Saccharomyces cerevisiae S288C: one gene and its partners. Changing the gene in region 2 together with the main gene of any one other region gives a genetic interaction. Each region holds a gene or a part of one and is shown on either strand. Other genes may lie near its edges.

Region 1 (2,760 bases), on a different chromosome or scaffold from region 2:
GTGATTGTGGCCCAGGTGGAAAGTACATAGGCGACATTTGATAAGGTGTATACGGAATCATAGATGGGTGTCCGTAAAATGACCAACCAGATGGATTGGCTTGGTTTTGGGTCATCATGCACTGCTGTGGGTACGGCCCATTCTGTGGAGGTGGTACTGAAGCAGGTTGAGGAGAGGCATGATGGGGGTTCTCTGGAACAGCTGATGAAGCAGGTGTTGTTGTCTGTTGAGAGTTAGCCTTAGTGGAAGCCTTATCATATTCTTGAATTTTGGAAGCTGAAACGTCTAACGGATCTTGATTTGTGTGGACTTCCTTAGAAGTAACCGAAGCACAGGCGCTACCATGAGATATATGTGGGTAATTAGATAATTGTTGGGATTCCATTGTTGATAAAGGCTATAATATTAGGTATACAGAATATACTAGAAGTTCTCCTCGAGGATATAGGAATCCTCAAAATGGAATCTATATTTCTACATACTAATATTACGATTATTCCTCATTCCGTTTTATATGTTTATATTCATTGATCCTATTACATTATCAATCCTTGCGTTTCAGCTTCCTCTAACATCGATGACAGCTTCTCATAACTTATGTCATCATCTTAACACCGTATATGATAATATATTGATAATATAACTATTAGTTGATAGACGATAGTGGATTTTTATTCCAACAGAAGGTGATCTAAAGATTGAGAAACAGTCACCAGATTTAGGGGAAGCTGAAATGCAATGATTGATAATGTAATAAGAAGCGAGAGGGAAAGTATAAAAAGGAAGTGATCAATTTGTGAATAATTTGATAACCGTTGGGATTCTATTGTTCGCAAGGGCTTTATTTTATTATGTGTACAGAATATAATAAAATTTCCCCTGAGAGATATACCAATCCTCAAATTGGAATCGATACTCCTATATAATACAATTACAATTATTTCTCCCTCCCTTTCGTATGTTTCATTATCCTAGTACATTATCAATCCTTATATTTCTGCTTCCATTAAATTTTACGACTGTTTCTCAATGTTTAGATCATCTTCTTACACTGTATATGATAATGTACGAGTGGCATGAATACTACTGAACAGATGATATTTTATAGCTTCATTCCAACAGAAAGAACATAAAGTAATATCGTTACGTAAAACTATCGATTCCCTTTTGACGATTCCTACATCCTCGAGAAGAAGTTCTAGTATATTCTGTGTACCTAATATTGTAGGCTCTAACAACAATGGAATCCCAACAATTAATCATCTTGATTATTTTATTCCCCGCGTTTTAGAGCATCAATCTTGCCAGCTTATAGCTGGTCATTGTCGACGATAATCTCAAGCACAGGGCTAAAAAATAAATTGAAACGGACAGGAATTGAACCTGCAACCCTTCGATTGCAATCTTATTCCGTGGAATTTCCAAGATTTAATTGGAGTCGAAAGCTCTACCATTGAGCCACCGCTTCAACTTTTATTGTTTATATTGACACCTGTATAACAATATAACCACAATAAAAGGTTCATTCAAAGCTCCGGCTAGCATTCGGCGATTAATGAAGAAAGTTAAACCGTGATTTATTACTTCTTGCTCGTTTTTTCCATCATAAGTTCGCACAGAGCAGTATATATAGTGATTTGCAAATATGAATAGCGGTGGTAGTGATAGTTTCGATTATCTTCTTCAATTAACAAAAGCTTTAAGTGCAGAGTGTCGGGCTAACAGACAAGAGACCGATCGAATAGAACTATTGTTAAAGCGCCTTGCCAAACAGTCAGGAATATCTTATGATAATTTGAGCAAAAACATAATTCCAGATTCATGGAAAGATAATGCATCTCAAAAAGCATCTCCCCCCACTGAGGCACAGAAGCTTATCAGCGAAAATTTTAAACTCATATACGAGATTGAAAAACAAGAGTACTTCAATACAAAGGCTGTTGCGCTAATTAACAACATAAATGAGCATTTCTCATATATTAAAAATTTTATCGACGAACAGAATGCAATAAGAGAACGAAATATTGCCACATTTTCATCAGAGAAGCTTGATGAAAGGAACAAAAGTCTTCAACAAAATTACGAGTCATTGAAGACAGAAAATGAAGAAACAAAAAAAAAATTGCATTCAATTATCAAACAGTTTGAAAAACTTTTGAAGGAAGTGGATTGGGATCGTATATCTAAAGATTCCAGAGATTACAGCCGCTTTAAAAAACAGTTGGAATACCTGCAAGACACGTACCAGGTACTGAAATAGCCTACGATGGATCGAACAAAAGTGTAAGCAGACGTGAAATAGCAAACCTTTGAATGCATTTATATATTTTAATATACTTATAACAACGGATAAATGTTTAGATCCCTTTTGAAAAAAAAAAAAAATTAGGATGAACCGAAAAAAATCATACTCGTATTCCTCTATCGTCTTCACTGGCATTATTGTGTAAAGAATTATTACCAAATAACCACCTGAACCACCCCACAGTATCATTCTTTAAATCTTTAAAATAACGGCGGCTCAGCATCTTTAAACAAAGAGCTTCATAGGTGGGGTTGTTAGTGGTCATCAAATCATTTACGCATCTATCATATTCGTCTTTATCACTCTTGGGATCTATTGCAGAGCATATTCCAGTTTTACCCTGTCCCTGAAGAGAGCTTTTCAACCCAATTAATTTGGAATCAAACTGAGCAACACTACTTTCAATATCTCGTACACGAACTTCCAATATCCTCATATCATATTTCAACCTAGAT
Region 2 (3,414 bases):
ACGAAAATTGCAACCACTGGCTTACCGAACTGAGAGAGAACGCAGATGACAACGTGGCTGTTGGGTTGATAGGGAACAAATCAGATCTGGCTCATTTAAGAGCAGTACCAACCGATGAAGCGAAAAATTTCGCAATGGAAAACCAAATGTTATTTACTGAGACAAGTGCTTTAAATAGTGATAATGTAGATAAAGCATTTAGAGAACTGATCGTAGCCATCTTCCAAATGGTAAGCAAACATCAAGTAGACTTAAGCGGGTCGGGTACCAACAACATGGGCTCTAATGGCGCTCCAAAGGGTCCTACCATCAGCTTAACACCGGCACCAAAGGAAGACAAGAAGAAAAAATCCAGCAACTGTTGTTAAAAATTTTGTGCCCTACTAAGGTCGCATGGTTTCATGCATATTCTGTCTACATATAACCCCCGTTAATAATGCTTTTATAAATATAATCAATTACATATACCTTCCCAAGTTATTTATTACTAACCTTCGTTGCACGCAAGAAAAAATGTATTAACGTACATACATTTTCTAAATAGACCTTTCCTGACGCCTGCATTTTGCAATAGCCGAAGATAAGAATATGATTTTTTTTTTACGATTTAAATATTCTGTTGTTGTGCAGTCTAAAAACACACGTGTATGTTTTTTTCCGCACGCATGAGCAGAATTAGACGGTTTTATAAACGTTCGCTCTGTGTATTTCACGTACCTTCCCGGATACAAATTTCGTCATGGTTTATATTGGAAGTTTTTCCGAAATTGCGGGTTTTGAAGGTTTATCCGAGACGACGTGAGGGGTAGGCAGGAGAAGGAAGGCTGTTTACGTACGCAAGGATGGGGTACGACAATGATTCAATTTCTGTTGCTAAGTTTTTTGTTATTTTTTCATATTGGCCTACTCATCTTTGATATCATTATTTTTTCGAATCTACATTAGAGCGTGTTTCGGAAAACAAACTCGCTCGATACAGTAATTGCGTTTTATTTACGGAAATTACCGTTCTCGGTTCCAAGAAGGTTAGAAAAATCGGTTGTCGCTCTTTCTTTCCCCCACTTGTAAAAACAAAGAAAGTATAAAATAGTTTATGGCCCTTAAGGCAGGCCTTGTTGAATTTGAGCTATACCTACCCCAATGATAGTTCTGTGGTAGTTTGTTTGAATATGTAATATGAGAAGCACGATGGCAAACGATAATCTTCACTGAGCTGATTTACGAGCGACCATCATCTCCACGGTGCGAATTAATAAGCTGTGGCGATGTGCTGTAGTTGCCCTATCGCCCCTGCGGAGCTTGCGTCAACTAGCTCTCCCCTTTCCCCATTGAAGTTAGCGTATTACCATCAGTTAATGATTGATAGGCTCATACGAAGAAGAAAAAAAGCCGGGATAAGAAACCCCGCCTCCACTTTTTTGGCTCATCCGAAAATTTATCCGCGGAGACATCCACGGAGCACCCGCAAAACTGAAGTAATAACTCTAAATTATATGCCGCTGAGAAAAATCTCGTACGAGGATACGGTAAATAATCCGTGCGAGAAAGTTTTTCCGAAAATCATTCCCGGTCAAAAGCGTTTCTGGTATATAAGCGATTGGGAAACCCGTCTATAATACGTAGTAACTTACGATCTGCCTGTCAAATTGTGTGCTTGTCCTTGTACTATTACCATTGTGTAGCTTATCTTAACTCTCAATTAAGTTTTAACTCACGCTAAGACTATTGACCTCGAGAACAAACAAAATAAAAATAAAAAAAGAGAATGCCTAAAAAGCAAACGAATTTCCCAGTAGATAACGAAAACAGACCTTTTAGATGTGATACCTGTCACCGTGGTTTCCATCGGTTAGAACATAAAAAGAGACACTTGAGAACACACACTGGGGAAAAACCTCATCATTGCGCATTTCCTGGTTGTGGGAAAAGTTTCAGTAGAAGCGATGAACTGAAAAGGCACATGAGAACGCATACAGGGCAATCTCAAAGGAGATTGAAGAAAGCTAGCGTACAGAAACAGGAGTTTTTGACAGTAAGCGGAATTCCTACCATTGCATCGGGCGTGATGATACACCAACCAATACCGCAAGTCCTACCAGCAAATATGGCCATAAATGTTCAGGCAGTAAATGGAGGTAACATTATACACGCTCCCAATGCGGTGCACCCAATGGTGATACCAATCATGGCCCAACCAGCCCCCATTCATGCCTCCGCTGCATCTTTCCAGCCTGCAACTTCTCCTATGCCAATTTCTACATACACTCCAGTTCCATCGCAATCATTCACCTCTTTCCAGAGCTCTATTGGCTCCATACAGTCAAATAGTGATGTTTCATCTATCTTCTCGAACATGAATGTTCGCGTAAACACTCCACGCTCTGTGCCAAACTCTCCGAATGATGGATATTTACACCAGCAACATATCCCACAGCAGTATCAGCATCAAACTGCCAGCCCTTCTGTTGCCAAGCAGCAGAAAACTTTTGCACATTCTCTTGCATCTGCATTATCTACCTTACAAAAAAGAACGCCTGTAAGTGCCCCTTCCACCACTATAGAATCACCATCCTCACCAAGTGATTCCAGTCATACCTCTGCATCCAGCAGCGCTATCTCTTTGCCTTTCAGCAATGCTCCTTCTCAGCTCGCCGTGGCCAAAGAACTTGAGTCCGTCTATTTAGATTCCAATAGATACACCACCAAGACTAGGAGGGAAAGAGCAAAATTCGAAATTCCTGAAGAACAAGAAGAAGATACCAATAACAGCAGCAGTGGTAGTAATGAGGAGGAGCACGAGTCGCTAGATCATGAATCTAGCAAAAGCCGAAAGAAATTGTCAGGCGTAAAATTGCCGCCTGTACGTAACCTACTGAAACAAATTGATGTTTTCAACGGTCCCAAAAGAGTTTAACCTTTACGGCCCCTTTTTATCTCACCATTTTTCCTCTAACGAACTGTCATGAAACAACTTAGCATATAACGCGTACTTACATAGATAGATTAAATAGATAACCATGCATATCACTAACTAGCATCGTCATGAATAGCACGTTTACCTATACGAATTGCGGCCGGCATGGTCTTTTATATTGCTCCCTTGGACCGAGTAAAGATTTACCTTGCGTTTTCGGATCGTCAAAATCTTTTAGGGAAAGGATAAATACACCACAAGATTCCTGGGAAATGAAAAGTATCTGAAATAATTGTGCTTTTGGAAGGGTACTGAGAGCAGTGAAGTTTCTATGGGTACTACGACAAGTCATCCAGCCCAAAAAAAGCAAACAACAAAAAAGTGTCGTGCACCTATCATGAGTGACGTTAGAGAAAAACCCAGCAATGCTCAAGGCTGCGAACCGCAAGAAATGGATGCTGTGAGCAAGAAAGTTACTGAACTGAGCTTAAATAAATGTT
Region 3 (2,731 bases), on a different chromosome or scaffold from region 2:
GATGCAGATTTCCAATTCAAAGACAGGTTTGATCCAAAAGCTACTAAGGCTTTGAAAACAAGATTGTGTGAATTGATTTATGACGCTTGTATTTTGGCCAAAAACGCTAATATGGATGTTTTTAACGCGTTGACTTCGCAAGATAATACATTGTTCTTGGATGATTTGAAGTTCGGGCCCGGTGACGGGTTCTTGAACTTCTATTTATTTAATTATAGAGCAAAGCCGATTACCGGTGGCTTGAATCCCGACAATAGTAACGACATTAAAAGGCGTAGCAATGTCGGTGTTGTTATGTTGTAGTGGCTGAAAGGACGAGGCGTATATAGTTTTCGTGTACATAGCCGACAGAATTTGACCACATTTAGTTTTTCCGCATAGTCAATTGACGAAGTGAAAAAATAATTAATCCAATGGCTGGCTTTAGAGTGTCAGCCTCCAAAATAAATCCAAAAATAGACAAAGAGAATCACTATAATTACCGCCTTGGAGTCCAAGTTGGCTTGAGAACTCGCATTTATTTTTAGCGACTGAGGTAGCTGAAAAACGCCTACTTTCTCAGAAGGCGGTAGTGAGCATATATAAGTATGTAAGAAAGATCAACTCTTCTGGACTAGATACTCACCGATCTAGTGAAAATATAAACAAACCCAACATATATATAAAATGAAGGCCTGTTCCATATTATTTACCACCTTAATTACTCTAGCCGCTGCTCAAAAAGACTCTGGTTCCTTAGATGGCCAGAACTCTGAAGATAGCTCACAAAAGGAAAGCTCAAACTCTCAAGAGATCACACCTACCACGACAAAGGAAGCCCAAGAAAGCGCATCAACTGTAGTTTCTACCGGAAAAAGCTTAGTACAAACTAGCAACGTCGTCAGCAACACCTATGCTGTGGCTCCAAGTACCACCGTAGTGACGACGGATGCACAAGGCAAAACCACGACACAGTACCTATGGTGGGTGGCCGAAAGCAACTCTGCCGTAAGCACAACTTCAACTGCCTCTGTGCAGCCCACCGGAGAGACGTCAAGCGGAATCACCAACTCCGCATCCTCCTCAACGACATCAACATCAACGGACGGGCCAGTTACTATAGTAACTACCACGAATTCGTTAGGTGAGACTTACACATCTACTGTTTGGTGGCTACCGTCCTCAGCCACAACTGACAACACGGCTTCATCAAGTAAATCATCTTCGGGATCCTCATCAAAACCGGAATCAAGCACCAAGGTAGTAAGCACTATCAAATCAACTTATACCACTACGTCAGGTTCTACAGTAGAGACACTGACCACTACATACAAGTCTACAGTCAACGGTAAGGTAGCGTCCGTAATGTCCAATTCTACCAATGGCGCCTTTGCCGGCACTCACATAGCTTATGGTGCGGGTGCATTCGCCGTTGGTGCCCTTTTGTTATAGAATGTATAATCAGTTCTGTATACCACCACATAGTTCTGCATTTTAATAAAACTCTTTCTTTTTATACACTGTAGGTAACCAATAATATAACTATTGTTATCATCGTGCTTGCGTATTTTTTTTCTTTCGGGTGAAAAACTCCGCAGTATTTCTCGCTCTCCCTGGATAATAAGCTAGAAAAAAAAAATATATATGACAGATGGATGAGTAATCATATTCAATAAGTATTGTCTGGCTTCTGAGACGGCGGTAAGATATCCTTAAGAGTTGCAATGGTCCTTTTACACAAAAGCACACATATATTTCCTACCGATTTTGCCTCTGTTTCACGCGCCTTTTTTAATAGATACCCCAATCCATACTCCCCCCATGTACTATCCATAGACACAATATCAAGGAACGTTGATCAAGAAGGAAATTTGCGCACAACGAGGCTGTTGAAAAAGTCCGGAAAGCTGCCCACATGGGTCAAACCCTTTTTAAGAGGTATAACAGAAACATGGATAATCGAAGTTTCCGTAGTGAACCCCGCTAACTCCACAATGAAAACTTACACTAGGAATCTGGATCACACTGGAATCATGAAGGTTGAAGAATATACTACCTATCAATTTGACAGTGCTACAAGTAGTACGATAGCAGACAGCCGGGTGAAGTTTTCAAGTGGCTTCAATATGGGTATCAAATCTAAGGTAGAGGATTGGTCGCGCACTAAATTTGACGAAAACGTTAAGAAAAGCAGAATGGGCATGGCATTTGTTATCCAAAAACTCGAAGAGGCGAGAAATCCTCAGTTTTGATGTTCCCATTTAAAGATCTTTAAAGATATCACCATGGGCGAGCGAAATTGAGAAAACTAGTGCAGCTCGCATTTGGTCACGTCCTAAAAATTGTAAATAAGCGCTGGTTCAACAAAATTTAATATACACACATATATAATTATTTATTTATAACAGTCATTCTGCTAAACTATACATCAAATGTCACTAATCTTGATATTATGGTCGTCCCTGTATCATATTAGACGAACACACCTGTTTTTGGGCATTTTCCGAATTTTTTTTTCATGCTAGCTAAGTCAGAAGTACTACATTAAAGAATTGAGAACTGACTGCTCCCACCATTCTTGAACTCTCGCTTTAAATTATCTTACTATCTTTTGAGTTCCTTGTAACTATTCTATCCTAACCACCACCTCAAAAAAAAAAAAGTAATAAAAATGTCTTGGGACGACGAAGCTATCAATGGTTCTATGGGTAATGATGACGCCGTTTTGATGGACTCATGGGATGCTGAAATT
Region 4 (3,571 bases), 340 kb from region 2:
GTAGTACGGCGTTAGAGTCAAGAAGTAGCTTATTATATCCTGTGCACAAATTTCAAAGTTTTTGCCGCCATCATATGGCTGAAAGAGGGCAGCAAATTCCATCTCGTTATTTTTGCATATCAACGCAAGCGTTACACAAGATATGGTTAGAAGCAACGAGCAGAAATTCATTACAATGACAGAAATTAATTGCCGTTGCAACATTGTTTTGCCTCTATCGCGTGTGTTTCCTTGAAGGCAGTGTATCACTGAATGTCATCAGTAATGTTACCAAGAATGAACATCCTCCAAATACTCATAGAAACCCGTTTAAAATTCGGGAATTGATGACTTCCTTATGGTAGGCAAGTGTGATTTACAGACTTTCCATGCGATGAACCCCTATTTTAATCGTATGGATCACCAGATCAAGAATTGGCAGTTCTGTCCCATTATTAGAATAGCGAGAAAACGGATGCTTTCATAATTTTTGATTGTTGCTTCATCCTATTTCACCCTATTTAATAGCCTTCTGTAGAAATATCGTGTATGGTTCCTTTATCATTGCTTAGCATAGCTGCCACTAACCTACATTAATCGACTTTTTCCCGGAAAATTAGCGGGTAATCGATTTTTCTAGATGGCATTGTGGAGGAAAGTAAGTGCGTGGGGTGTGTAAGTTGCCGTACAATGCAGTATAACCAGTAGGACTGGAAGGTAGTCAGTACAGTAAGACTAGAAGTTAGCGAGCCAGCACGTTTCCTTCGCGCCGGTTTTTTTTTTTATTTTTTATTTAATTTTTTTCAAAACTTGACGTGTAGAAGATTGACGTCTGGGGTTGGCCCCATGAATTTTTTATCTATTTCTTCCCTGTGCCTAATTCGTAATATCTCCACTGATAGCGTAAAAAAGCGCTTTATTTTTCCGAAAGTTGTGATGGCATTCCATACAGTTTATAGGATGGTAGCAAGTGATAAGAGCTTGGGGCCCACAATTAAGCAGCAGAAAAGCGCAATTGCGACACTAGCAGTGTAACTCGATAGGATTTTATGGAGTGTTGATGAATGTAGTTGCCATTATAATGGCTTCTCAGGAAACCTGTAGCGGCCGGGCCCCGCGAGAAACTCCAGAGTGGCGTAGGCCGGCTTGTTTAGTTGCTAGCATACTTGTTCGAGCTCTTGAGTTCTCCTGGCTTTTCTCCACGTGTCTGCTTGTTGCCTTTGATTTCGCGAGAGACTGCGGACTGCCACCCCACTCCGGGAAAACCTGGAGTGATGGTAAAGGCCCTGCGGCGCTTTCTTTCGGAAAAACTAATACGAAAGAAGCAACAACAAATTTTTACAACAGGCTGGACGAGAAAAGTGGGGAAGAGCAAGCAGAAAAAAGAAAAGAGAATAGTCGTTCTTGGATAATTTATTTATTATAACCCTTTTTTTTCACCCCAGTACTCATTAACGAAGACAAAGGAGAGTAAGAAAGCCCGGTAAAGCATTTCGAAGATAAGAGAGCCATTTATTCTAGCTCGCTTGTAACTACACGAGAGTTGAGTATAGTGGAGACGACATACTACCATAGCCATGCAAAGCCCATATCCAATGACACAAGTGTCTAACGTTGATGATGGGTCACTATTGAAGGAGAGTAAAAGCAAGTCCAAAGTAGCTGCGAAGTCAGAGGCGCCAAGACCACATGCTTGTCCTATCTGTCATAGAGCTTTTCACAGACTGGAACATCAGACGAGACACATGAGAATTCATACAGGTGAGAAGCCTCACGCGTGTGACTTCCCCGGATGTGTGAAAAGGTTCAGTAGAAGCGATGAACTGACGAGACACAGAAGAATTCATACAAACTCCCACCCTCGAGGTAAAAGAGGCAGAAAGAAGAAGGTTGTGGGCTCTCCAATAAATAGTGCTAGTTCTAGTGCTACCAGTATACCAGATTTAAATACGGCAAATTTTTCACCGCCATTACCACAGCAACACCTATCGCCTTTAATTCCTATTGCTATTGCTCCGAAAGAAAATTCAAGTCGATCTTCTACAAGAAAAGGTAGAAAAACCAAATTCGAAATCGGCGAAAGTGGTGGGAATGACCCATATATGGTTTCTTCTCCCAAAACGATGGCTAAGATTCCCGTCTCGGTGAAGCCTCCACCTTCTTTAGCACTGAATAATATGAACTACCAAACTTCATCCGCTTCCACTGCTTTGTCTTCGTTGAGCAATAGCCATAGTGGCAGTAGACTGAAACTGAACGCGTTATCGTCCCTACAAATGATGACGCCCATTGCTAGCAGTGCGCCAAGGACTGTTTTCATAGACGGTCCTGAACAGAAACAACTACAACAACAACAAAATTCTCTTTCACCACGTTATTCCAACACTGTTATATTACCAAGGCCGCGATCTTTAACGGATTTTCAAGGATTGAACAATGCAAATCCAAACAACAATGGAAGTCTCAGAGCACAAACTCAGAGTTCCGTACAGTTGAAGAGACCAAGTTCAGTTTTAAGTTTGAACGACTTGTTGGTTGGCCAAAGAAATACCAACGAATCTGACTCTGATTTTACTACTGGTGGTGAGGATGAAGAAGACGGACTAAAGGACCCGTCTAACTCTAGTATCGATAACCTTGAGCAAGACTATTTGCAAGAGCAATCAAGAAAGAAATCTAAGACTTCCACGCCCACGACAATGCTAAGTAGATCCACTAGTGGTACGAATTTGCACACTTTGGGGTATGTAATGAACCAAAATCACTTGCATTTCTCCTCATCATCTCCTGATTTCCAAAAGGAGTTGAACAACAGATTACTGAACGTTCAACAACAGCAGCAAGAGCAACATACCCTACTGCAATCACAAAATACGTCAAACCAAAGTCAAAATCAAAATCAAAATCAAATGATGGCTTCCAGTAGTTCGTTAAGTACAACCCCGTTATTATTGTCACCAAGGGTGAATATGATTAATACTGCTATATCCACCCAACAAACCCCCATTTCTCAGTCGGATTCACAAGTTCAAGAACTGGAAACATTACCACCCATAAGAAGTTTACCGTTGCCCTTCCCACACATGGACTGATACGCTGACAAGTTTTTGGCGGTGCAGATAAATCAAAAGACAATAGACAAGAATTAATAATATTAACAATTAATAATTAATAAATAATAAATAATAATAATAATAATAATAATAATAATAATAATAGTAATAATAATAATAATTAATAACGATAAAAATATTTAATTATGATAGTAAGAATACATATTTTGATTGTCTTAGTCTTCCGCAGAGATAATTAATTGTTCTCATTTTCAAAGTCATCTATATGTATTGATTGAGCTCTACTGTTGTTTTTAACTTTATTGTGGCCCCCTAAAATATAATTTTTACCAGTATTAACCATTTTGCTCTTATTAGTACTTTTACTGATGGTGGAACCCTTGAAATTTGTCATGGGCGATTCAATCCATAGATTGTTATTGCTGCTTCCACTAGTGTTCTTGTATGGAATTGGTGTCGTAGGTGCCGTAGTCATAGCATCGGTTGCTCTAGTTAAGGTGGTTGGTTGTCTCGTCATA

The links.
Region 1: mutations in MIG2 (region 2) and FAR3 together harm fitness more than expected from each alone (negative genetic interaction), as found in Saccharomyces cerevisiae (2 studies listed by BioGRID).
Region 3: mutations in MIG2 (region 2) and UPS1 together harm fitness more than expected from each alone (negative genetic interaction), as found in Saccharomyces cerevisiae (2 studies listed by BioGRID).
Region 4: of MIG2 (region 2) and MIG1, changing one enhances a phenotype caused by changing the other (phenotypic enhancement), as found in Saccharomyces cerevisiae (10 studies listed by BioGRID, with this or other methods).

The regions. Positions count from the first base shown.
Region 1 is NC_001145.3:377,941-380,700, forward strand, and holds FAR3 (Far3p), read left to right. Parts: upstream 1-1,645; coding exon 1,646-2,260; downstream 2,261-2,760. Other genes in the region: YMR051C (gag protein), read right to left, coding at 1-385; STB2 (Stb2p), read right to left, coding at 2,406-2,760. UniProt on the Saccharomyces cerevisiae protein: Participates in the control of the reentry into the cell cycle following pheromone treatment.
Region 2 is NC_001139.9:94,093-97,506, forward strand, and holds MIG2 (Mig2p), read left to right. Parts: upstream 1-1,765; coding exon 1,766-2,914; downstream 2,915-3,414. Other genes in the region: Rab family GTPase YPT32, read left to right, coding at 1-368; SIP2 (Sip2p), read left to right, coding at 3,246-3,414. UniProt on the Saccharomyces cerevisiae protein: Involved in glucose repression of the SUC2 gene.
Region 3 is NC_001144.5:539,509-542,239, reverse strand, and holds UPS1 (Ups1p), read left to right. Parts: upstream 1-1,703; coding exon 1,704-2,231; downstream 2,232-2,731. Other genes in the region: glycylpeptide N-tetradecanoyltransferase NMT1, read left to right, coding at 1-303; NCW2 (Ncw2p), read left to right, coding at 667-1,431; HCR1 (translation initiation factor eIF3 core subunit j), read left to right, coding at 2,651-2,731. UniProt on the Saccharomyces cerevisiae protein: Required for maintenance of normal mitochondrial morphology. Required for PCP1-dependent processing of MGM1.
Region 4 is NC_001139.9:431,048-434,618, reverse strand, and holds MIG1 (transcription factor MIG1), read left to right. Parts: upstream 1-1,556; coding exon 1,557-3,071; downstream 3,072-3,571. Other genes in the region: YGL034C (uncharacterized protein), read left to right, coding at 1,040-1,405; VIR1 (Vir1p), read right to left, coding at 3,289-3,571. UniProt on the Saccharomyces cerevisiae protein: Involved in glucose repression of the SUC, GAL and MAL genes as well as of the CAT8 gene. Binds to two sites in the upstream region of SUC2.